Linked DNA regions of Arabidopsis thaliana. The protein of the gene in region 1 interacts with the protein of each later gene in a pairwise test. Each region holds a gene or a part of one and is shown in the gene's direction. Other genes may lie near its edges.

The links. Proteins that work in one complex are often made in the same cells at the same time.
Region 2: the proteins of AT2G17972 (region 1) and AT3G19100 interact in a protein complementation assay, tested with the Arabidopsis thaliana proteins (one large-scale study listed by BioGRID).
Region 3: the proteins of AT2G17972 (region 1) and ALF5 interact in a protein complementation assay, tested with the Arabidopsis thaliana proteins (one large-scale study listed by BioGRID).

Annotation. Positions count from the first base shown.
Region 1 is NC_003071.7:7,818,130-7,823,647, forward strand, and holds AT2G17972 (uncharacterized protein), read left to right. Parts: upstream 1-3,455; 5' UTR 3,456-3,494; coding exon 3,495-3,971; 3' UTR 3,972-4,108; coding exon of another isoform or gene 4,109-4,166; 3' UTR 4,167-4,201; downstream 4,202-5,518. Other genes in the region: AT2G17970 (2-oxoglutarate (2OG) and Fe(II)-dependent oxygenase superfamily protein), read right to left, coding at 987-1,296, 1,383-1,454, 1,560-1,870, 1,963-2,048, 2,136-2,729, 2,997-3,147; AT2G17975 (zinc finger (Ran-binding) family protein), read right to left, coding at 4,109-4,166, 4,269-4,349, 4,458-4,585, 4,680-4,753, 4,861-4,891, 4,977-5,245.
Region 2 is NC_003074.8:6,601,555-6,610,530, forward strand, and holds AT3G19100 (Protein kinase superfamily protein), read left to right. Parts: upstream 1-3,741; 5' UTR 3,742-4,126; coding exon 4,127-4,672; intron 4,673-5,348; coding exon 5,349-5,479; intron 5,480-5,616; coding exon 5,617-5,658; intron 5,659-5,764; coding exon 5,765-5,873; intron 5,874-5,975; coding exon 5,976-6,351; intron 6,352-6,458; coding exon 6,459-6,571; intron 6,572-6,678; coding exon 6,679-6,786; intron 6,787-6,865; coding exon 6,866-6,928; intron 6,929-7,022; coding exon 7,023-7,190; intron 7,191-7,282; coding exon 7,283-7,426; 3' UTR 7,427-7,741; downstream 7,742-8,976. Other genes in the region: LARP6c (RNA-binding protein), read left to right, coding at 1-364, 524-605, 747-841, 930-1,162, 1,241-1,319, 1,396-1,443, 1,531-1,599, 1,687-1,812 and 1 more; AT3G19120 (PIF / Ping-Pong family of plant transposase), read right to left, coding at 8,124-8,976.
Region 3 is NC_003074.8:8,452,668-8,460,377, reverse strand, and holds ALF5 (MATE efflux family protein), read left to right. Parts: upstream 1-3,669; 5' UTR 3,670-3,789; coding exon 3,790-4,071; intron 4,072-4,355; coding exon 4,356-4,900; intron 4,901-5,059; coding exon 5,060-5,146; intron 5,147-5,246; coding exon 5,247-5,303; intron 5,304-5,401; coding exon 5,402-5,640; coding exon of another isoform or gene 5,641-5,681; exon of another isoform or gene 5,682-5,714; coding exon 5,715-5,833; intron 5,834-5,912; coding exon 5,913-6,017; 3' UTR 6,018-6,475; downstream 6,476-7,710. Other genes in the region: RNR2A (ribonucleotide reductase 2A), read right to left, coding at 1-117; AT3G23570 (alpha/beta-Hydrolases superfamily protein), read left to right, coding at 770-917, 1,011-1,032, 1,208-1,334, 1,558-1,648, 1,771-1,860, 1,949-2,049, 2,186-2,326.

The DNA of each region.
Region 1 (5,518 bases):
CCAAAGTTAGAAAAATATAATAGTGGCGGTAATGTAATTTCGGAAACTTAACTCAACCGATAACATTGTTTAGAAGATGCATGGTTTTTGAAATACAAAAAAAAAGAAAGTAAAAGTAATAGAGTATGTACCAAGAAGAAGAAAAAAGGTAGGATACATTGTTAGAAAGTAGAAAGAATGGTGGAAAAGAGAATGATGATGTTAAAAAACGAATAGGGATTTGAGATGAGAAGATCATTCCATATCTCATATACAACACATCGTCGCTTTTCATTGATATAAAAGTGTCATACTCAATAGAGCCCAAACCCTTTTTCTTCTCTCTTTCTATTGATTTTAAGAAAGAGATTCTTATTAGATCCCTAAACCCACGTGTTCTTTCATTATTTCGTTTTCTTTGGTTCTTATTTTTTTCCCTTAATTTGTCTTACATCCGGTAAAATTGTAAATTATTTAAATAAGAATTCTTGAGCTGTTTTTATAAGTTACACCTTCAAAATCAGATTAGCAAAGGCCTCATTCATATAAGTCACTCATGTTCGAAAGGTTTGATTATACGATAAGTTGTGATCAGTCAAAAAAATTGAAAAAGATAATTGTACACTTACACTATAGTCACAAAAACATATAAATGAAGAATTGGTTACTTGGTCAAATCAATTATCGATTACTATATATATATGCTCTCGTAGATCGAAATTCTTTAGTCACATCAGTTGGAAAATTTGACAAAAAAGTAAAGCGAAACAAACCACAGAACAATTCACACTAAACACACAAATGACAAATCGAACTGTGTAAGATATACATAATTACAAATACGGTCAAAAATTCAAAAACGGATATAAAAATACCCCGGACATAAATAATTGTTTGAAAAAAAATTCAAGACTTATGTATATATGTTGCACAAATTAATTATTTATATGGAAAATTGGTTAATTAAATAAAGAACTTATAAATTTCAGTTTCAGAAGTTGAAGAATTTAACCGTAGTTTCTTCTACTAGGACGTGGCATTCCTCTTCTCTGGCTTGATGGCCAGTCTCCAGAGTCATTGTGTTCACTGCTTCTCTCAGGATTATAGTAACCTCTTGAGTCATAACCATTGCCTCCTCCTCTACGTCCATGTCCTCTTTGGTTAGTACCGTTATGGTTGTTTAATCTTGAGAACCTTGAAGTAGAACCAGACCGGTTCAGGTCCAATGGCAATGGCTCAATCCCTTGCAAATCAGGCTCTGGGGTGAACCAAACCGGGCGTTTCGACTCATCCATTTTCCTAAATGTAATTGATATCCTGTTGAATAGAACCGGGAAGAAACATACTCATAAGAGAAAAAATGTTTGTTTATAGAAGAAAATTGATGCAACAATATTTATAACCTTTTTGTAGGAACTGCAGGTACACAGTGCTTAGCTACATCAGCTCCATTTCCATTTAACACCAGAACTGATCTGATAAATATGAAAATATCCAAAAAAAACAGTCTTTGATTTCATACTATTCGACAAGGAATGGCCGAAAGTTTTGAAACTGGGAATTCTTACGAACTTGCTTACCCCACAGGAAGCGGTATTGAGTATGAACCCGAGAAGTCACCAGGACCCTCAACTTTCAGGTTTGAGCCAAAGAGGATATCGCATTCACTGAGGAAAGAGATGGTACAGAAGGGACGGAGAAAGTCGTGGTTGTCGATGTGAGGAGGTATGCAGTCACCTTCATCATAGATGTTCACAATGCAGCTATCGGGCACACAAGTTGGAGGCAGTACATGCCATTTAATCAACTTTCTAATGATTACTTTGAAAAGATGAGGTAGTGGATCCACTTCTTCACGTTGAAGGATACCCGGTGGGTTTCCAGCTCTGTCCTATCAACCCAAAATACAAGAAGGCAAAACTCTTAACTCCTTTTTTAAGAATGAAACAGATTAATGAAAGTATGACAGAGAACGTTACTTACTGGAGCGTAGTTGTAGCAACAGCCAAATTGTATAGTCTCACGTCCTTTTCCTCTCATCCACTTATGTGGAGCAGTAAATGTACGCTCTACAGAGAGAGAACAAGACAAGATTCAGATTAAAAATAGGTCACAAGTTAAGATAAGAGCATTTTCAGATCAAAACAAGAAGTTACTTTTAAGTTCTCCTCTTCGTCCCTTCTCTTGAAGTTGATACACTTGATCAACAATCCGTTTCTGCTCCACTGCGCTAAAAACACCAGTGTGCAACTCAAGTCCATCAAGCACGTTAACAATCTTTCCCTTAACTCTCTCCAAGCAAATAAAGTCTTTCTTTCTCTTCACATTAATCAGCCTGAGATTCTCTCTCTGATCTCTAGACAACTTAGGCTTCTCTGGAGTCTTCATCGAACTCGCATCAAAACCTTTCCTACTCGAATCCCTCTCCTCTTCCTCCTCCTCCTCCTCCTCATCGAACTCATCCTCTTGTGCCATATCAGCCCAACGCATACGAGGGCTTGCTGTTTCAACAACAGCTGGTCTAGATTGCAATACACTACTAAAATCTTCAGGAAAGGAACCAAATACAATTTCACTTCCCTTCCAACTACCTAACGAATGATTATCACAGTCTTCGCCATTTTCCGACTTCTCATCATAATTATCATCCACATTGTTACTAGCTCTTTCTGATCCCATATTTTCCACCACTGAACAAGAACCAGTTTTACACTCTCCATCAACTTTGTCAGTGTTGTTACTACAATGTGCTACACATATGGAAACATGATTTCTCATAAGCAACTCCACATCATAACTTAATTCACAAATTTAGAAACGTACTTGCTACTCTCTCGCCTCCTATTTGTTCCAATTACCAAACCCTAATTTTGTAACCTTATCATTTAGCAGAACATCAATCAAAAAAGCAGAATCAAGTACAATAATGAAGAAAATCTCCGCTTTCTATACAGAATTTCAATATCCATAGAAACCAGAAAGTCTCTCGCCTCTAAGAAAAAGTTGAGAATCGTTACCTGGGTCAAGAGAACGGATTCGATTGGAGAGAAGGTGATTACAATCCTTGCATAGATCTTTAGATAAAAAAGGAAGCCAATTCGTCAGAAACTCCGAAGCGATCTTAAGCTCCGACGGCTGGTACTGCCGGAGAAATGGATCGTTTTCCATGAGATACGCTCGATACAATCCAAATCTAGTACTCTTGTTACAGAAAATTCAAATTTCCTAGTCCACGATTTGAAATCTAGTACTCTTTTGTCAGTGTGGATTCTGTGACGGTACACTTGTAAATTCTAGTATTAACCAAACAAGGGTAATATCGGTATTTAAGCAGCCAATTAAAGCTCTTGGGCCGTTTAAAATTCTTAAAAGCCCATTAATTTCGAAACGCCACCTGTCGAGACATAATTGGGTCAGAGGATTTTAACGGTGGAAGATGAAGAAGCTTATCTTTTTGCAAAATCGTTTCTTCCTTCATTCATCATAGCTTCAAAATCTTAAAAACAACAACAAAAATGAAAAGTCTCCACTTTTTAGCTCCCAATTCAACGATTATCAATCTGAAGCAACAATCTTATACAAAAACCAAGTTCCAGTTGCATCGTAGCAACAGAAGAACTCTATCGATAAACTGCGTAAACAGTGGCGGTGATGAAGAGAAGATTACTCAGCCGTTGGATGGAGTGGAGATAAGATTCAAAAGAGGATCCAGAAGGAAAATGAGGGAAGAGGGTTCAGGAGAAGGAGGAGGACAAAGCGGGAAGAAAAAAGAGACTGTTCAAAAGCCATGGGAAGAGATGACATTGAATGAGAAGGCATTGGAGCTTTATGTTGGAGAGAAAGGTTTGTTGTTTTGGCTAAACAAATTGGCTTACGCGTCGATATACATTGTCATTGGAGGTTGGATTTTTTTCCGGTTTGTTGGACCGGCGTTTAATCTTTATCAACTCGATACACCGCCTCTTGATCCTAAGAACATCTTAAAGGGTTAAGAAATGCTTTGTAGCTGTGTCTGCATTCTCTGTTCCAAAACATTTTGAGGCTTATATATTCAAGTTAGTTTCGAGTAATGTGTAGCCATGTCTCACTAGATTAAGATACACAAGAGAACAACACTCTTCATGAATTTTCAAGATTGTTCTGTTGGAGTTATGTCCTGATCAAGGATATCTCGTGTAGTCTTGCACCTGACATGGAAAAGAAAATATTTTTTTCTTCGGCTTTTTGTTTACCTTAACTCAATGCAAAGAATCAGAATTATTAACTGAAAAAACTAGATTAAAACTCACCTATTGCACTCTGCTCGTGATGCATAATTGTGATTCTTGCAATTTGTACACATCCAGTCGCCATCACGCCATTGTTTCACTCTAAGAAATCAGACAACACAAAGAATTGGGAAGGTTGCAAAAGATCACGCCATTGTTCTAGCGTTTAGAAAACAAGAAAACAATGGAGACCAGAGATCAATACAGTACCCCATTCCAAGTAAAGCAGGTGTTGAGTGTTGTTGTAGAAACGGGAGAGGAAGTTGCCAATTTGAGACCCTTCCTAGGCTCATACCAGGAAAAGATGCATATATCGCTGACTGTGTTTGCATGCTTGTCTGCACAACGAGCCAGAAGAAACAGAGGTTGGTTAAGCAGCAAGTAAAATTGATGAATGTACTAATCAATTTATGCGCTCTAACTAATCCTTACATATCCTTGATTCAGTCTTTTGCTATCCCATTCATGAGCCAAAGCTTCTGATGCTAATCTCTTTGTACCAAGGGCTGCAACCCAAAATAAACTTTCCCATATTAAAACTCGTGAAAGGATTATCAGACACCTTCGGGTTATATAAGATTGCACGCGCATCGGTCTTAGACAAAAACCTTACCTAGTGGAGCTATTTCATTGCACTTTTTGCACTGCAGAGACATACAAAACAGAAATGAGTAAAACAACAAGCCGGAATCTGCAAGTCGGTTTTGCATTGTGAACCCATTTCCTCACCTGTATACGAGAGGAATAATTGTGAAAACCACATCTGCAAATCCAGTCACCACTCCTCCATTCTTTATGAACCGAAGCTTGATTTGTAGCGTTAGAGAATGCGAGTAAAGAACCAGGTTGATCATGTGACTCAGGTCCACGGGTGAAGTAATGGAGATGAGTTTGAAGAGAAGCTCCAGGGATAGCAAGTGCTGACAATGCTGCTACTTCCTTAGATTGCCCACATTTCTTGCACTTTTCTCGTGATGCATAATTGTTGTTAGTACAACCTATTGCCACACCACACCACACCACACACCCAAACGCAAAACGTAGAACGAAGAAGATACACACGCACGCACACCACAACACACCCACCAGCAAATTCCATATACCACATAACACAGAATACACAAAACAGCTCAACCTAGTTATAAGTAAATCCCCTAATTCACAATTCCAATCTAATGAAACATCAAATGTAAAAGGGCATTTGAAAGTTGAAGGATTTGAACTCAGAACTTACGAATTAGATCAATCCTAGTTTTCATTCACAATTCAAT
Region 2 (8,976 bases), on another chromosome or scaffold:
AACGGCGTTCAAATTCAACGCTCAAGCGCCGGAATTTGTACCGCGATCACATACCACCGCACCAGCACCGCAGGTTTCTCCTGTCTCCGGTTACTTTTATCCTTGTTTTCATTACAACGGTGGTTGCATAGGAGGATGTGGCGGCGGAGTCTGCGGTGGTGGAGGGACCGGCGTTGGTACTCAGTCGTCGGATTGGATCTACGTGGGAGGAGGAGATCCTACTGCTCAGCATCAACATGTTCATGATCCAGCGGCTGCGTTTTACATTTCGAATCCGGCGGTTCAGTTTCCGGCTAGTCAGAACTCGTCTTCTTCGTCGAAGAATCTGCTTTCCGATGATCTCCGCCTTAAGATCGTCAAACAGGTTTTCACTTTTTTTTTTTTTTTTTTTTACTTTAATGATAGGTAAAATATTGAAAATCATTATGTCATGAGATCTTAAGATCATATATGATTTACATTAGCCTATCAATTTTCATAAAATAGAAAACCTAACTTGACTCACAAGAAACCACTTTTATAGGTTGAGTACCAGTTTACGGACATGAGTCTCCTAGCCAACGAGTCCATTTCAAAGCATATAAGCAAAGACCCTGAAGGTTATGGTAAGCCTAAATTTTTTTTCATTTAACTTGTATATGATCCTTGAGATCTCTGCTCTGTTTTGCATTAATATATATGTTTAAAATATGATCCTTGAGATTTCTGCTCTGTTTTGCATATTCATATATATGTTTAAAACGCAGTGCCCGTATCCTATATCGCTTCGACCAAGAAGATCAAGGCTTTAACGAGTAATCACCACCTAGTTTCACTTGCTCTACGCTCCTCTTCAAAACTTGTAAGCTGCTTCTTTCTTTACTCTCGACTTACCAACTAAATATTATAAGATCCAAGTATACTGAGAGATCTTTGTGAACACAATTAAGGTTGTGAGTGAAGACGGCAAGAAAGTTAAGCGTACAAGTCAATTTACTGATAGAGACAGAGAGGAATTGCAGGTAAATTTGAATATCACTAAAGCTTCATTGTATTTATTATCAACTATATATGAGTTCTTGTTACTCTTTACTGTTCTGCAGGGCCGGACTGTCGTTGCAGAGAATTTGCCAGATGATCATTCTTACCAGAACCTTGAGAAGATCTTTGGAGTTGTTGGAAAGTAAGAAGGCTTTTTACTTTCATTTTAAACATTTTCTCTACATCAATAAACAACAACTCTGGATGCAATTTGTCTCAGCGTCAAAGCGATTCGTATATGTCATCCTCCAGAATCCAACTCGTCTCGTCCAAAAGGCGATTTCTTGATGAGCAACAAAGTAAGTACCAAGTCCTGTTTCTACTTATCACGTCAACTTAAAGAGCTTAACATATCCATCTTGTTTTACTCTAAAGATTCACGCCCTTATCGAGTATGACAACACTGTTATCGCGGACAAAGCAGTGAGTAAATCTCTACTTTCAACTATCTTTTGATCCAAGGCTCTGTCTATTAGTTTCTGAGATATATAGCAAATGCGATCTTACCAGGTAGAGAAGCTAAACGATGAAAGAAACTGGAGGAAAGGGCTTCGTGTGAGGCTGCTTCTTAGATGCTCGGTTGATTTCTATATTCTCTTCTTAAGTCACACATTTCTCTCTAGACGTTCTGAGATTAATTTCGTTGATATACTTTGTGTGCTACAGCCAAAATCGGTGCTCAAGAACCGAAGAAACTTCGATGGAATCCTCATCGATGATGAACTCCCTTCTTATGAATCAGGAGAAGACTCTCCGCGTCTCCATTTAACCGAATCACAGCTTGATAACGATGTTAGTACTGTTGCTTAAGTCCCACGAAATGTTTTTCCATATATATATAGAAACTAAATTTTCTTGCTGTGCACGTTAGGGTGATGACAACAATGTTGGTGGACTGTGGGGTAAAGGGAGAGGAAAAGGACGAGGACGATCCCCAAGAAGCTACGCAGTAGGAGGAGGAGGACGTAGCTTCGGGATTGGGCTCGGAGTCAGCCTCGGGATACCCAGCCTGGGGTCACACGAATCTTCGTCTCCTAAAACAGCAACAAAGGGACCAAGAATGCCTGATGGAACCAGAGGCTTCACCATGGGACGTGGCAAACCTTCCATCTCACTCTCACCTAACAATCTCTAAATAGTTACCCACCACAAGGACTGCTATTTATAATTGATTTATTATAATAGAGGTAAAAGATTTTAGAGTTAATTAACCAAATAATACATATGGATTGGTTTTCCTAAGATGCATTCAAAAGAAGCAAGGCACATGACTTGGGAGAAGATAGTGAAGGCACGGTGACGTTTTTTGAGGGTTCGTTTTATATAACTTTTTTCATTTTTTGAGGCAATTTCTTTTCTGTATGTTTAATATGTTTTATTTTTGTGAGATTATTATTTGAATAATAAAGGGGTAATTTATATAGCACAAGAATTGCAACCCTCTCAACTCTTTGTTTTGATTTAGATGAGTAATGGATTTGAATAAGTGACTGAAAGATTGGGTGAAACTTGAAAACTAATCAATTTTCTTTCTAAAGAAAAACTAAAAAAACATGATGAATAGTTTATAAAAAGCACAAGCACAAGAAAGGAAATAATCAGGTAAAATGTTACTATCTTCTTGCATCCTAACTAATTCCAGTAACTTGTATCTATTGACATTCCCAAATGGTTTTTTAACCGGTTTGATATATATTAATTTTTAAGACATATTCGACAATTCTTTAACAACCTTGAAGAAGGCGGAGTCACTTATTGAATCCATTATTCATCTCAATCAATATAAGGAAGTGGGTTTTGTTTACAATAATTGCCATTTTTCGATTGGATTTTGTTTACAAAACCCAATACTTGAAAAGACATTTTTCAATGACCTTAGATTGGATTCAATGTTGTGAAAAAAAAAAAAAAATGGATTCAATGTACAATTTTTTTCTAAAAATAAGTGAAAAGACAAATGAGTATTGAGATAACAAAAGTTCTTGCCAAGGTTGTCTAGTAATTTCATAACCTATGGTAGTTGTCAAACAAACTAATTTATAGTATCATATTAATTATAATAAATGTATAATCTTTAATTGAAACAAAACCTAATTTTACTCCCAAATTAATAGAAAACCTTCAAAGGATGGAAATTGTTGGACATGTATTTACATGAAACCAAACATGCAATATCAGTAAACCAACTTCATAGTCTATACTAAATTACGTACCGATTGGTAGATAGAAATAATGATAACTAAACTGATCTTAACGATTGGTATTGGAGAGAGATTTTCAAATCAAGAGTTAGTAAGAAAAAGAAAAAAAGAACTTAGAGATGTGGATCAAATATTTTGAAAATGATGAAATCTTATTAAAAATTGAAATTGATATACGACCTGTCCAGATACAATGAAGTTGTTAGGTTACAACATCAGCATGTTTCAAAAAGGGTCAAGCAGGTACATCCAATCAATTTATATAACGTAAATCCTGATTTTCAGAGCAATATTATTTGTATCTTTTATAACCTCCCTAGTTAATTAGTAATAAAATATTTAATTTAGTAGTATCACAAGATGGAGCTTTAAAAGTTATCTTTAATTCCCACTTTTGAAAATGATAACGTCCATAAATACATTTCAAAACGTTTTTATTCTCCCAATAAGATATCAAAAAGACAATATCAACAACAAAAAAGACAAGAAAAAAAGACAAAAAATAATGATAGATAAAATACAAAAGCAAAAGAAAACGTATAGTATTGCTTAGAGAAAGAACAAACATATTGTGAATTAAAAAGAAAAAAAAAGAGGGACAAAAGTAGAAAGACGTGGCAAAAAGCAAACTAAATTTCGACCAATCCACATCTAAAATCTAACCTTCTTCATCAGATGGAAGGAAGCTACTTCACCACCCGCAGATTCTGCCATGTGGCTTCTCTCTCTTCTACAGCTCACTTCTTCTCTCTCTGTCTCTCTCTAACTACATTGAAACCAAACCAGAGTGCTTCAATGTCATTGCTGTGATTCTCTTTAAGTCCAGACATAACTCCCATATCTTCTTCTTCTGTCTTTTTTTATTTCTTTGAACCGGAGAAGAAGAAGAAGAAGGAGAAGGATATATGGGAGGCTGTACTTCCAAACCTTCCTCCTCCGTCAAACCTAATCCTTACGCACCCAAAGACGCGGTTCTCCAAAATGACGATTCTACCCCTGCTCATCCCGGGAAATCACCGGTTCGTTCATCTCCCGCCGTAAAGGCCTCTCCTTTTTTCCCTTTTTACACGCCTAGTCCCGCCCGGCACCGCCGTAACAAGAGCCGCGACGGCGGAGGAGGAGAGAGTAAGAGCGTTACCAGCACTCCTCTCCGTCAGCTCGCGCGTGCTTTCCACCCTCCGTCACCGGCGAGACATATACGGGATGTTCTGCGGCGGAGGAAGGAGAAGAAGGAGGCTGCTCTGCCGGCGGCGAGGCAGCAGAAGGAGGAGGAGGAGAGGGAAGAGGTAGGGCTGGATAAAAGATTTGGGTTTTCCAAGGAGTTACAGAGTAGGATTGAGCTAGGGGAAGAGATTGGGAGAGGGCATTTTGGGTATACTTGCTCTGCTAAGTTCAAGAAAGGAGAGCTCAAAGATCAGGAGGTTGCTGTTAAAGTCATCCCAAAATCTAAGGTCATTTTTACAGCTTTACTTTTTCCAAATTCTCAAGTTTCCATCTTAAGTTTTCTGCTTCAATTGGCTCAAGTGCTTCATCATTGTAGTGATAGCTATATCTGACAAATTGAAGATTCTTTGTGTGTCTTGTCTGATTTGTTTAGTAGATGTTAAACTGTTTCAAGGTAGAAGAACAAACCATCATAGTCTCCTTTTGCTTCATGATGAACCTGTAATTTGATCATTACGGTCTCTTGAGATGTTTCTGTTCTTCTCTACGAGCTTACTGTCCTCTTGTTTGAGCCATCTTTTTGAAAAAATTGATAGCGTATGTAGACTTTCACGCATAGAAATTAATACAAAAACAAGTAATAGCGAACACAGATGAGGTTGAAGTTTGTCAATGACACTTATGTTTCATCCATGTTTTTCAATAGCCAAGTTTTCAATGGTTGTAGATTAGCATTGCTGACTTTTCTGTGAACATTTCTAAACGTTTTAAATTGGTCAATAAATTGGAACATGGACATTTGTGCTTTTGTCAATTGTCATTAAGCAATTGAAATTTTGATGGTCCTTATTTGATGACTAAGAAAGTTAATCATGTAATCGAGTTAGTTGGTGTAATATACAGATAGGTTTAGTGTTAGCTTAATCCACAATAGACTGTTTCTCATCAGCTTTGGTTTGGCAGATGACATCTGCAATATCTATAGAGGATGTGAGAAGAGAAGTGAAAATACTGCGGGCGTTATCTGGACATCAAAATTTGGTACAATTCTATGATGCGTTCGAGGACAATGCCAACGTTTACATCGTTATGGAGTAAGACAATCATGTGCTTATATATTCCTGTGTCATGTTGAATCTACTAGGAGAGCTATCAGATTCTTATTTTCCCGACTTGGCTTACTTCAAAATGTTTAGCTGTGAATAAACATTTACTTTCTTTCAACTTTCAGGTTATGTGGAGGTGGTGAACTTCTTGACAGGATACTAGCAAGGTCTGCTTTTAAAGATTGTTATGACATTTGTTAACTTATGGTCAGAGATCCTTCTTAGAGATGTTCTATTGGCTGTCTAACTATTTCAAATTTACTTCTCTTACAGGGGAGGAAAATACTCTGAAGATGATGCAAAAGCAGTGCTTATACAGATCCTTAACGTCGTAGCTTTCTGTCATCTCCAAGGAGTTGTTCATCGAGATCTAAAACCAGAGGTGAACCGCACTTTTTGTCTTTGCTTTTTCCTTTCAAAACCCAAAAGAAATATTGTCTTAGTTGAATACCAATCTCACATTTGAAACACTTTCATGTTTCAGAACTTCTTGTACACTTCCAAGGAGGAGAATTCTATGTTGAAAGTCATAGATTTTGGCTTATCGGACTTTGTCAGACCAGACGAAAGACTAAATGATATAGTGGGAAGTGCATATTACGTAGCCCCTGAAGTTCTACACAGATCTTATACCACAGAAGCGGATGTATGGAGCATAGGAGTCATAGCATACATTCTCCTATGTGGAAGCCGTCCTTTTTGGGCAAGAACTGAATCAGGAATTTTCAGAGCAGTTCTAAAAGCTGATCCCAGTTTTGATGAACCTCCTTGGCCTTCGTTATCCTTTGAGGCAAAAGATTTTGTTAAGAGATTATTGTACAAGGACCCTCGGAAAAGAATGACTGCATCTCAAGCTTTGAGTCAGTAATCTCTAAAATATCCACATCTTTCTATATTTATCTTCTGTTTCTAGCTTTTCATGAATCACCAGTTGAAGTTACTCCACGTTTTTTTCCGGTTTTTACAGTGCATCCTTGGATCGCGGGTTATAAGAAAATAGATATCCCATTTGATATTCTGATCTTCAAGCAGATCAAAGCATACTTGAGATCTTCGTCTTTGCGCAAAGCTGCTTTGATGGTACATTTTGCTTCTAACCTTTTTTACTGTTTCCAAACAACATTTAAGGATGTGTTTGATATTTATTACCTTTGTATCTAGTTTGCTAACTCTTTTATTCTCTCCAGGCTCTGTCCAAGACATTAACTACCGATGAACTTCTTTATCTGAAAGCGCAGTTTGCACACTTAGCACCCAACAAAAATGGCCTCATCACTTTAGATAGCATCAGACTGGTATGTGCCTTCTCTTCCTCTCTGTCTCTCTCTGGTAGAAAGCAAACAGCTCAAAGCTAGATTTATTTCTGTTGGACAGGCACTTGCGACAAATGCAACAGAAGCAATGAAGGAATCACGGATCCCGGACTTTCTTGCATTGGTATTGTCTCCTTTCTGTTCTTGTCCTTTTGCTTAATCTGTTTAAGATACAATCCAAGGTTGGTTAACGAAAGTTTGGTGTTGGGAAATGACAGTTAAATGGACTTCAATACAAAGGGATGGATTTTGAAGAGTTTTGTGCAGCTTCCATTAGCGTTCATCAGCATGAGTCTCTTGATTGTTGGGAGCAGAGCATTCGTCATGCTTATGAGCTATTTGAAATGAATGGAAACCGAGTTATCGTCATCGAAGAACTCGCTTCTGTAAGTTTATAAGAAATTCGACACTTGCTTCTGTCATGCTTAACAATTTATTCAGCTAATTCCTAAACGAAGGGAACATAAATGTTTTGTAGGAACTTGGTGTTGGATCATCCATCCCGGTTCATACCATTCTAAATGACTGGATAAGACATACTGACGGGAAGCTGAGTTTCTTGGGTTTTGTCAAACTGCTGCACGGTGTCTCGACTCGACAATCTTTAGCGAAAACGCGATGAGGAAAGTGACTCGGTGTTATAACGGATTCGAAAGAGGAAGAACATACAACTGCAAGAAGCAAATGGGTGGATTGGGGTTGGGAATTGGAATTTTTTTCAGGACCCATTCCTATGTTTATAGTGTTAGAAAAAGAATGCTAAGTTCCGACAAAGAAAGAGAGTATCCAGAAAAATCCGACAGGCCTGGAGAGTTGTATAATAAGATGATAATCCACAGTCGTGTTCTTCCAAATCATGGAAGACAGATATTAAGAACATCCCTTTCTCTTTTCATTTGGCTGTCTCCATTTTTTCCAGGAAAAAGATTCAGATTCCATTCACAATGTGCCACAAAGCAAATCATAAAAACCCATTCCTAAGTCACAAAACTTACAGTAACAGAGAGCTATTAATATTTCAAATTCGGAAAAACTTGCTTCTCAAGATTCCATAATCCATATCAATAGAAGTCATACATTTCATTCTCAAAAGGTGTTACAGAACAAACCATAAACCCATTCCTAAGTTACAAAACTGACAGTTGGGATGGCTAGGCAACAAAGTCAGCTTTTTAACATTTCTGAATCCTCAAACTTTCTTCTCAAGAGGATTGAATCTACAATGCTATCTAAAGTTCTAAACACTTGAAAGCATCTGCTTCTTACATGATAACAAAGATAGAAAGCTCCATTTTTTGACCAAGATCTGTTCATGTCTTTTACCTCGAGGAGAGTCTCTGGTGTAAATCTTCTGCCAATGCTTGCCTCAAACTCTCCCCGTAATAGTAAAACTGCCTCTCACTCTCCAAAACTCTTGCAGGCGTTCCAGCTTCATCTGGATCCTTCCAAATCTCCGGTTCAGGTTCTCTAGCAATCTGACAAAGATTATGCAACACACAACAAGCCACAATAGTCTGAGGAGCATGGTTCACACCAACATTCAAACTCTGAAGAATCTTCCATCTAGCCTTGAGCAATCCAATAGCTTCCACCACCACTGACCTTCCTTTCATCAACATTCCATCGAATAGATTCTCCGGTGGCGTACCAGAGCCATTTGGTGAAAATGGAGTCATCAGGAATGAGAGAAGAGGATAACACCAATCTCCAACAATGTATGGTCTCACATGGTGACCTCTAATATTGATAACTTTCTCCCAAACAATGTCTCCTGAAGTAAGCCTCTTATATAGAAGACTATCTCTGAAATGAGAAGAGTCGTCTTCTCCACCTGGAGCTTTCACACAAACGTCCCAAAAGATCTTCTTGTGATCAGCAACAACCTGAAGCAAAACGGCGTCGTATCCGTACTTGCAACCGTAAATGTTTCTAGGGTTTAGTTTCGTGCGGCGTCTGAGCTTCACCGGAGTACTATCAATGGCGCCGCAAATGTTGGGGAGAGAGGTGAGTTCTTCGAATCCCTGAGTCGTTTCGATCAATCTCCGTTTTCCGACGGGGATTTTGATGAATTCTGGATATAGCTTGGTGGCTAAGAGACGTGTGACCATGTTTGTGATCTTGGAGATGAGGTATGGATCTAGTGAGTAGCGAGAAGCTAGGGTTTTAGCTGAG
Region 3 (7,710 bases), on another chromosome or scaffold:
AATAGATTTGTACCTAATGGGGAACATAGTGAATCTCTGGTTCTGAGCCATCAAAAGCGGCTCTTCTGATTCACCTTCTTCCATGTCTCTTCCTTGACCTTCCTTAAGCGAACCCATTATCTCGAATTCGTCTCTTAATTTTGAGGTTTTTTTTGATGTGGAGAGAAACAGAGGATTAGATAGATAAGGAAAAAGAAAATGAAAACCCTAAACAAAAACCCTTGGAAACCGACAAGGAACCAACAAAAGAAGTGTTTTTGTTTTGTCTGTTTGGGTGGCGCACGCAAAACGATTCCTCGTGATCTTCCGACGTGATTTTCAAGGCAACACCTTGTGGAAGGAAGAAAAAATATCTGACCACATAAATTGTGAATTAAACAAAAAAAAGTTAAAGATAATTAGAGGAAGCCACATAAATAATTTGTCAAAAGAGTTTTTGTTTGTTATGATAAAATTGATAATTGAATTAGAATAATCTTTGATTGTTGGGTTTTGTTTTTTACTCTGCATAAGTGCATAGAATCATTCAATCATTCAAGGTAAGGTATTACCCCATTTAGCAAATTTATTCTAAGAAAAATTAACATTGCAAAAGTTAGTTTTTATTTAACGCACGTGAGTTTTTTTAGGTGGAAGAGTAGATACGCACACGTAGTGTAGATAACTGGTGTGAAAGGTCAAAGGTGGTTTGGTGGCTTTACTTTTTAAAACAGAGGTCCCAAAGCGCGAGAGAGGAGTCGTCTTGTTTTTTGGTTCGGCGAAAACAAGAATGTCAGGTCATCAGTGCACCGAGAACCCGCCTGATCTGGATCCAACTAGCGGGTCGGGTCATGTCGAGAAACTCGGTAACCTTGACACCTACGTCTGTGGTTCCACTCATTCAAAGCTTGCTGTTCTTCTTGTCCCTCATGTTTTCGGTAAAAAAACCTTTTTACCTGTCCCAATTACGTTTGATGTTCTTTCTGAATTTGTTGGTTTGATTTGAGAATCTAAAACGTTTTCTTCTGCAGGATATGAAACTCCAAACCTGAGGTGCTGTAACAGAGAATCCCTACTGAATCAGCTTGTCTTTTGTTGATTGTTAGACAGTCTTTTACTTCAGATTCTTTGTTATAATGAGTTATAGTTTATATCACCTTTTATAGTCACTCGAAAGATGTTTCATTCTTGCTGTAACTTGTCATGGATATTGTTCTTCCCTTGATAGGAAACTTGCTGACAAGGTTGCAGAAGCTGGATTCTACGCGGTGGTTCCTGATTTCTTCCATGGAGATCCTTATAATCCCGAGAACCAGGATCGTCCGTTTCCTATTTGGATGAAAGATCATGAACTAGTTAGTTTCTTTTCCTTATTAAATGTTCAATCCTCAATTTTTCTCAAAAACATAAATGAGTCTTTGTTTCCCAGCATGAAATAGTCCAAGTATCCCAATAATCCCTTATTATTAGTGCCAAAATGCTATCACTACTTATTGTTGATTGCAAAGCTAAGATTAAGTCAGTGTTTTTGTACTGTTCTGTGTCAATGTATCTGAAACCAGACTATGGATTTTGTAGGAGAAAGGGTTTGAGGAGTCAAAGCCAATAGTGGAGGCCTTGAAGAACAAAGGCATAACTAGTATAGGAGCAGCAGGGTTCTGTTGGGGTGGTGAGTTCGGTTTTCTTGTTCCCATCATCACCACAGTTTTATGAAAATGTTTTCCATGATCTGTATAATAAGTCAACCATGTATATTAGTTAACACAAGACTTTTTGTTTCTTATTCTTTAGCAAAAGTTGCGGTGGAACTAGCTAAGGAAAAGCTTGTTGACGCTACTGTTTTGTTACATCCTGCTCGCGTTACGGTGGATGATATCAAGGGTATTTAGATCTTTGATATGGCCACTCCTTACTTGATAGTTCTCTCTCATTTGTTGTGATTATGACTCTCACTATATGATTGAAGCAGAGGTCAACCTTCCAATTGCTGTATTAGGAGCTGAAATCGATCAAGTGTCTCCTCCAGAACTTGTGAGGCAGTTCGAAGATATTTTAGCTTCTAAACCTCAGGTACTTTGCTTAGCTCTATGTCTTTATGCAAGGTAATATTTTCATTACTTACAAAAACACAACTAGTAGTTGATGTGTTTTTGGAAGTAGATATCTTCTTCAAGTAGATAATTGTGAGCAAAGTGATATGTTTCAGGTGAAGAGTTTTGTGAAGATATTCCCAAGATGCAAACACGGTTGGACTGTTAGATACAATGAAAATGATCCATCAGAAGTTGAAGCTGCAATGGAAGCTCACAAGGACATGCTCGCTTGGCTCATCGACTATCTCAAGTGAGAACTTGAAACGGTCTAAGCTTTGGTTTGCACATAACCAGCGGAGACCCAAAATCATGTCTAGTACTCTTTAAATAATAAATGTAACTAGTAGTATCTTCTTTAATTTATGTTGCTTTGTCATGTTTGTGGCTAGTGTTCTCTGTTTCGTTTCAGTCTGAGAAACATCAGTTTGAGTTAAACTTAAGACGTTCTAGAAATATCTTAATGTTCCTTTGGACCTTAAGCCTATTTATGTTGTTGATATTGAAATAAAGACATCCCCAAATTCAGCTATATAAATCTTTCTAAATTGATTTTTCTCTATGACTAATGAATTAGCTCTACTTTAAAATTCATCTGCATTACGATTTTTTTTGTTTTTTGAAAAATCGACCTCTTAGTAAATCATAAAACCTTGACAAAATTAGCAATTCTCAACTAATGTTTAACAGATAGTTGTTAGTTTCACCAGCTTCTGTTTAATTATTAATTTGATGATTAAAAATAATTTTTTTTTCTAAATATGGATTCTTGTATTGATATTTCAGATAATTATCTGTCTTTGTTGGTTCTAGTTGATAAGTAACCATGGTTCAGAAAAAAACAAGAAGATGAGTAACCATGAATCTGACTAGAATTGGATCCTAGTACTGGAGATGAGCTGTAGAATCAGATAAAAATTGTAAACAAACTCTCTTCCAAAAAAACAGAATCAGATCAATGAAATAAACGAGGCATGTTTGTGAGATGGAAACTTCTTCAATCTTATGGCATCAGAGTCCTCGATTTCACGAATCAGATACAAACATAAATATTTGCTCAGAGGGTACCATATCTGAACTCTGAGTTTGAGTATGGAAAACGTTCTTAAATCTAAAAGTTCTCCTATAGATTTGGTAACTAGGTGACGACGTCTTTACGATACTCTCTCTAAATGTGACTATACAACTAATGAAAACTTGTAAAAAAAAAAAAAAACTCAAATACAAATTTTCATTAGTTTTACTTTTGTATTTTAATACCAATCCTATGCATGTCTTGAAACAGGTGAATTGTTGTAATATAGAAATATTTCTTAATTGATGAAGTTTTGTTATTCACAATTTTAACGATAAGTTAAGTCCAATGTTCAAAGTTTCCTGAGGTGGTAATCGGGTGGTCATGACTCATGAGCTGCCTGATTATAGTACATTGCAAATTTAATTGGTTGACTTTTTAAGTCATCATTTTGTTTTAAGATTATTGATTCTGATCCAAAAATAATTAGTCTGAGGATGTAATAAATTGAATCTTTTTTGGCATAATTAAAAAATGTATTTATATTGCATTATAATGTGGCAGTAAATGGCAGAGAGGCCTCTTGTGTTGGTATTTAATATCCTGTTTCTGCGTACATCTCTTATTTAATTCCTCACCTTGCCAAATCACAATTCTCCTCTTCAAGTCTTAACCAAACCCAAAGTCCTTCAACAAGAAAATCCAATGGCTGATCCGGCAACGAGTTCTCCGTTGTTGGATGACCATGTAGGTGGAGAAGATGAAAGAGGAAGGAGATCAAGATCATCAACTTTGGTTCAAAAAGTGATCGACGTGGAAGAAGCAAAAGCTCAAATGATTTACTCTTTGCCAATGATACTCACCAATGTTTTCTACTACTGTATTCCTATAACTTCTGTGATGTTTGCTTCTCACCTCGGTCAACTCGAGCTCGCCGGTGCCACCCTTGCCAATTCTTGGGCCACCGTCTCCGGTTTTGCCTTCATGGTACCATTATTTCCTTATTTCTTTAGCTTTTGTAATTTAAAATCTTGTTTTGATGTCTACTTGCAAAAGTTACTAAAACCCACTTATTTCCATCTCAATAATAGACTCGAACTCGAATTCAAGAATCAAGATTGTTTAAAATGATTTATTCGACATAAATGACTAGTAGATGATTTTAGGAGTTGTCTAAATTTTTATTAACGACATCTTCAAGAACATTTGGCCAACGGTATATATGTATAAGTGCTTGTTTATGACATACATTAATGTCTCTTTGTTTTCAGGTAGGGTTAAGTGGATCACTTGAGACATTATGTGGACAAGGCTTTGGTGCAAAAAGATACAGGATGTTGGGAGTTCATCTACAATCATCTTGCATCGTTTCATTAGTTTTCAGCATCCTCATCACCATCTTCTGGTTCTTCACAGAATCGATTTTTGGACTTCTCAGACAAGATCCTAGCATTTCAAAACAAGCTGCACTCTATATGAAGTACCAAGCTCCCGGTTTACTAGCTTACGGGTTTTTACAAAATATTTTGAGATTTTGCCAAACACAATCGATCATTGCTCCACTAGTCATCTTCTCGTTTGTTCCCTTGGTGATAAACATTGCTACCGCATATGTTCTTGTTTATGTAGCTGGGCTTGGATTCATTGGTGCTCCAATAGCTACATCTATTTCATTGTGGATAGCTTTCCTTTCGCTTGGAACTTATGTGATGTGTTCAGAAAAGTTTAAGGAAACATGGACTGGATTTTCGTTGGAATCATTCCGTTATATCGTAATAAACTTGACATTAAGCCTCCCTTCTGCTGCTATGGTATGGTAAGTATATATGTTTCTTGACCGTTATATCTAGCCTAGTGGTTTATATTAGTCAATGTAATCATACCCGGGGTCAAAACCAAATAGTACATGTTGACAAAAAGAAAAAAAAATATCATTAGGCTTGTTGAAGCTTAAGAGACTATATTGTTGCAACAGTTTGGAATATTGGGCATTCGAGATTCTTGTGTTCTTGGCAGGAGTGATGCCAAACCCGGAAATCAATACTTCTTTGGTCGCTATATGGTAAAAAATATATATTTTTAATATCACTTTTTTGGTAGTTAATGTTTTTTTTATCTATTATATCAAATTTCTCAATGTGTGTTATGTTAAATAAATTCAGCGTCAACACGGAGGCGATTAGCTACATGTTAACATACGGACTTAGTGCAGCTGCAAGGTTTGCTCATTTTACTAGATAGTTTCAAAATACTTTGTATTCCATCTTGCTGAAAAATATTGTTTCGGAAATGTAAAAATCGAAAATAAATATTGCAGTACGCGTGTGTCCAATGAACTTGGAGCAGGAAATGTAAAAGGCGCAAAGAAGGCGACCTCTGTGTCCGTAAAGTTGTCTTTAGTTCTTGCTCTCGGCGTTGTAATTGTTTTACTCGTAGGTCATGATGGTTGGGTTGGGTTATTTAGCGATAGCTATGTGATTAAAGAGGAGTTTGCATCATTGAGGTTTTTTCTTGCTGCCTCTATAACTCTTGATTCAATCCAAGGAGTTTTATCAGGTAAAAGATCCAATATATATTTTTTTTTTTTACTCATCTAGGGTGGTAAAAATCATTGTTAAATTTATTTACAGGAGTTGCAAGAGGATGCGGATGGCAGCGTTTAGTCACGGTTATAAATTTGGCGACATTCTACTTAATTGGAATGCCGATTGCCGCCTTTTGTGGTTTCAAGTTGAAGTTTTATGCCAAGGTATTGCTTGATTCTATAATAAGATTAGTAAATTTTGTTTGATTATGTTATGTTTGATTCATTATTTTGATGGCGACAGGGTTTGTGGATTGGTTTGATATGTGGAATATTTTGCCAATCATCATCTCTTTTGCTTATGACAATATTCCGGAAGTGGACAAAGCTGAATGTTGCTACGGTCTGAAAACTCTAGTTACGTTCCATTTTTCTACGGAGGCACATTTATTTTCTTAAGCAGATATGGAATCAGTTATCAAGATATATATTTGGAACTCATGATCATTTTCCAAACGCTTAGTTAAGATTTATCTTTCTTAGTTTTCTTTTTATTCTTTTGGAGTGTAAGGGAAATAATCTGGTTCACAAAGTTGGTCATGGCTTGAATATTACAGCATCATTCTAAGCTATCTTTGAAACCAACTTCTTCTTAGTTGCGTTCTTCAATTTACTAGACTAGTTTCGTTATCGTCAGCAAGAAACTTTTCTCATTTTCTATTTCTTTAATTCCTCGTCGTTTTACTATTTTTGGCGATTTTTTTGGCATATTGTGCTAAAATCAGAAATTTTGATGCTTTCTATGTAAACTTATTTCTCTTGCTTAGTTACACACGTCTGGTCTGGTGTCTCCATATTATCCTGTTTGCTTTCTGGCAATGAGCTAGCTTAAATATGAGATCTTTGTCCACACGTTTTCTCAAAATAATAGCTTTTCTGGCCATTAATTTTGATAGAATCTATCTCGTCTCTTCGAAATAATGATTTTCTATCTATCTCGATAGGATTGAATCTTCATTTAAACCATCAATTAGTAGAATGCTCAGACAACTTTCTGGCCAGATTAGTCAGACAACGTGTGTTTGGACTCTCCTATCATGTTAAGTTTCATGGGATTCCAACTCAAAACCAATTGGTAATTAATGAATTATCCAATGTCTTTTATATACTACTCAAATCTTCTCTCATCTTTATGATGTGTGATCATTCTCCACAAGATTAAGTTTGATCATACAGTTCATTTAGGCTTTTCCATGTCCTAAAGGAGGTTATGGCCGTTATGAATTTACTTAACACAAATCTAATAAGTTTTCCATTATTTAGCCATGAGGCGATGCTAGGATGATTAGTAAGCCTATTACATAATCTTATTTTCAGATAGAGTTTAACATAATTAGGTGATTGACTTGAATAGAATCTACGAATGCCATCAATTGATTTACTTGACACTGTTTCCATAGAAGTTTAACATAAAACAGTGTCATGAAACTTAAGTAGTTGTTATTTGGTGGGCTAAGGAATAGAATCTAGGATTGTGCTTAATTAAACCTCGTTATGTCACATGGTTCGATCTCATCTATTGTTTTGCTATGTTGAACTTTCGTGATACAAATCTTTCTAATTTTGAACTGAACTTCAATTCCTAATTAAACTCGTTTTTTTGTGTTTCATTTATTCGTTAATGTTAGTCGTCTTTTGTGTTTCATTTATTCGGTCATGTTAGTCTTTCCCTAATATAGTGTAAATTCCTAGTTTAACAATAGTTTCACTATAGCACAATGGTTAAATTCATCTTGATTGATAACTTTCCTAAATTTGAAATCCACAAACCAAATTCATTGCCTATCAAAAGAATTCGTCTCTCATATTCGATCTGTGGCATAAGAAAACTTTTTTAAAAAGAAATATGTAATTATTTGTGTAAAAATATATACAGTGTAAATTCATTGCTTATCAAAAACATCCGTTGTAGTACAAGGGTTTAATTCATCTTGATTGCTGTTTCTCTAGTTTAATCGATTGATCGCTTTCTAGGTTTGAATCCTGGCAGCGGAAACTTTTTTAATTTATCTGTTGTTATTTGTGTAAATATATATACAGTG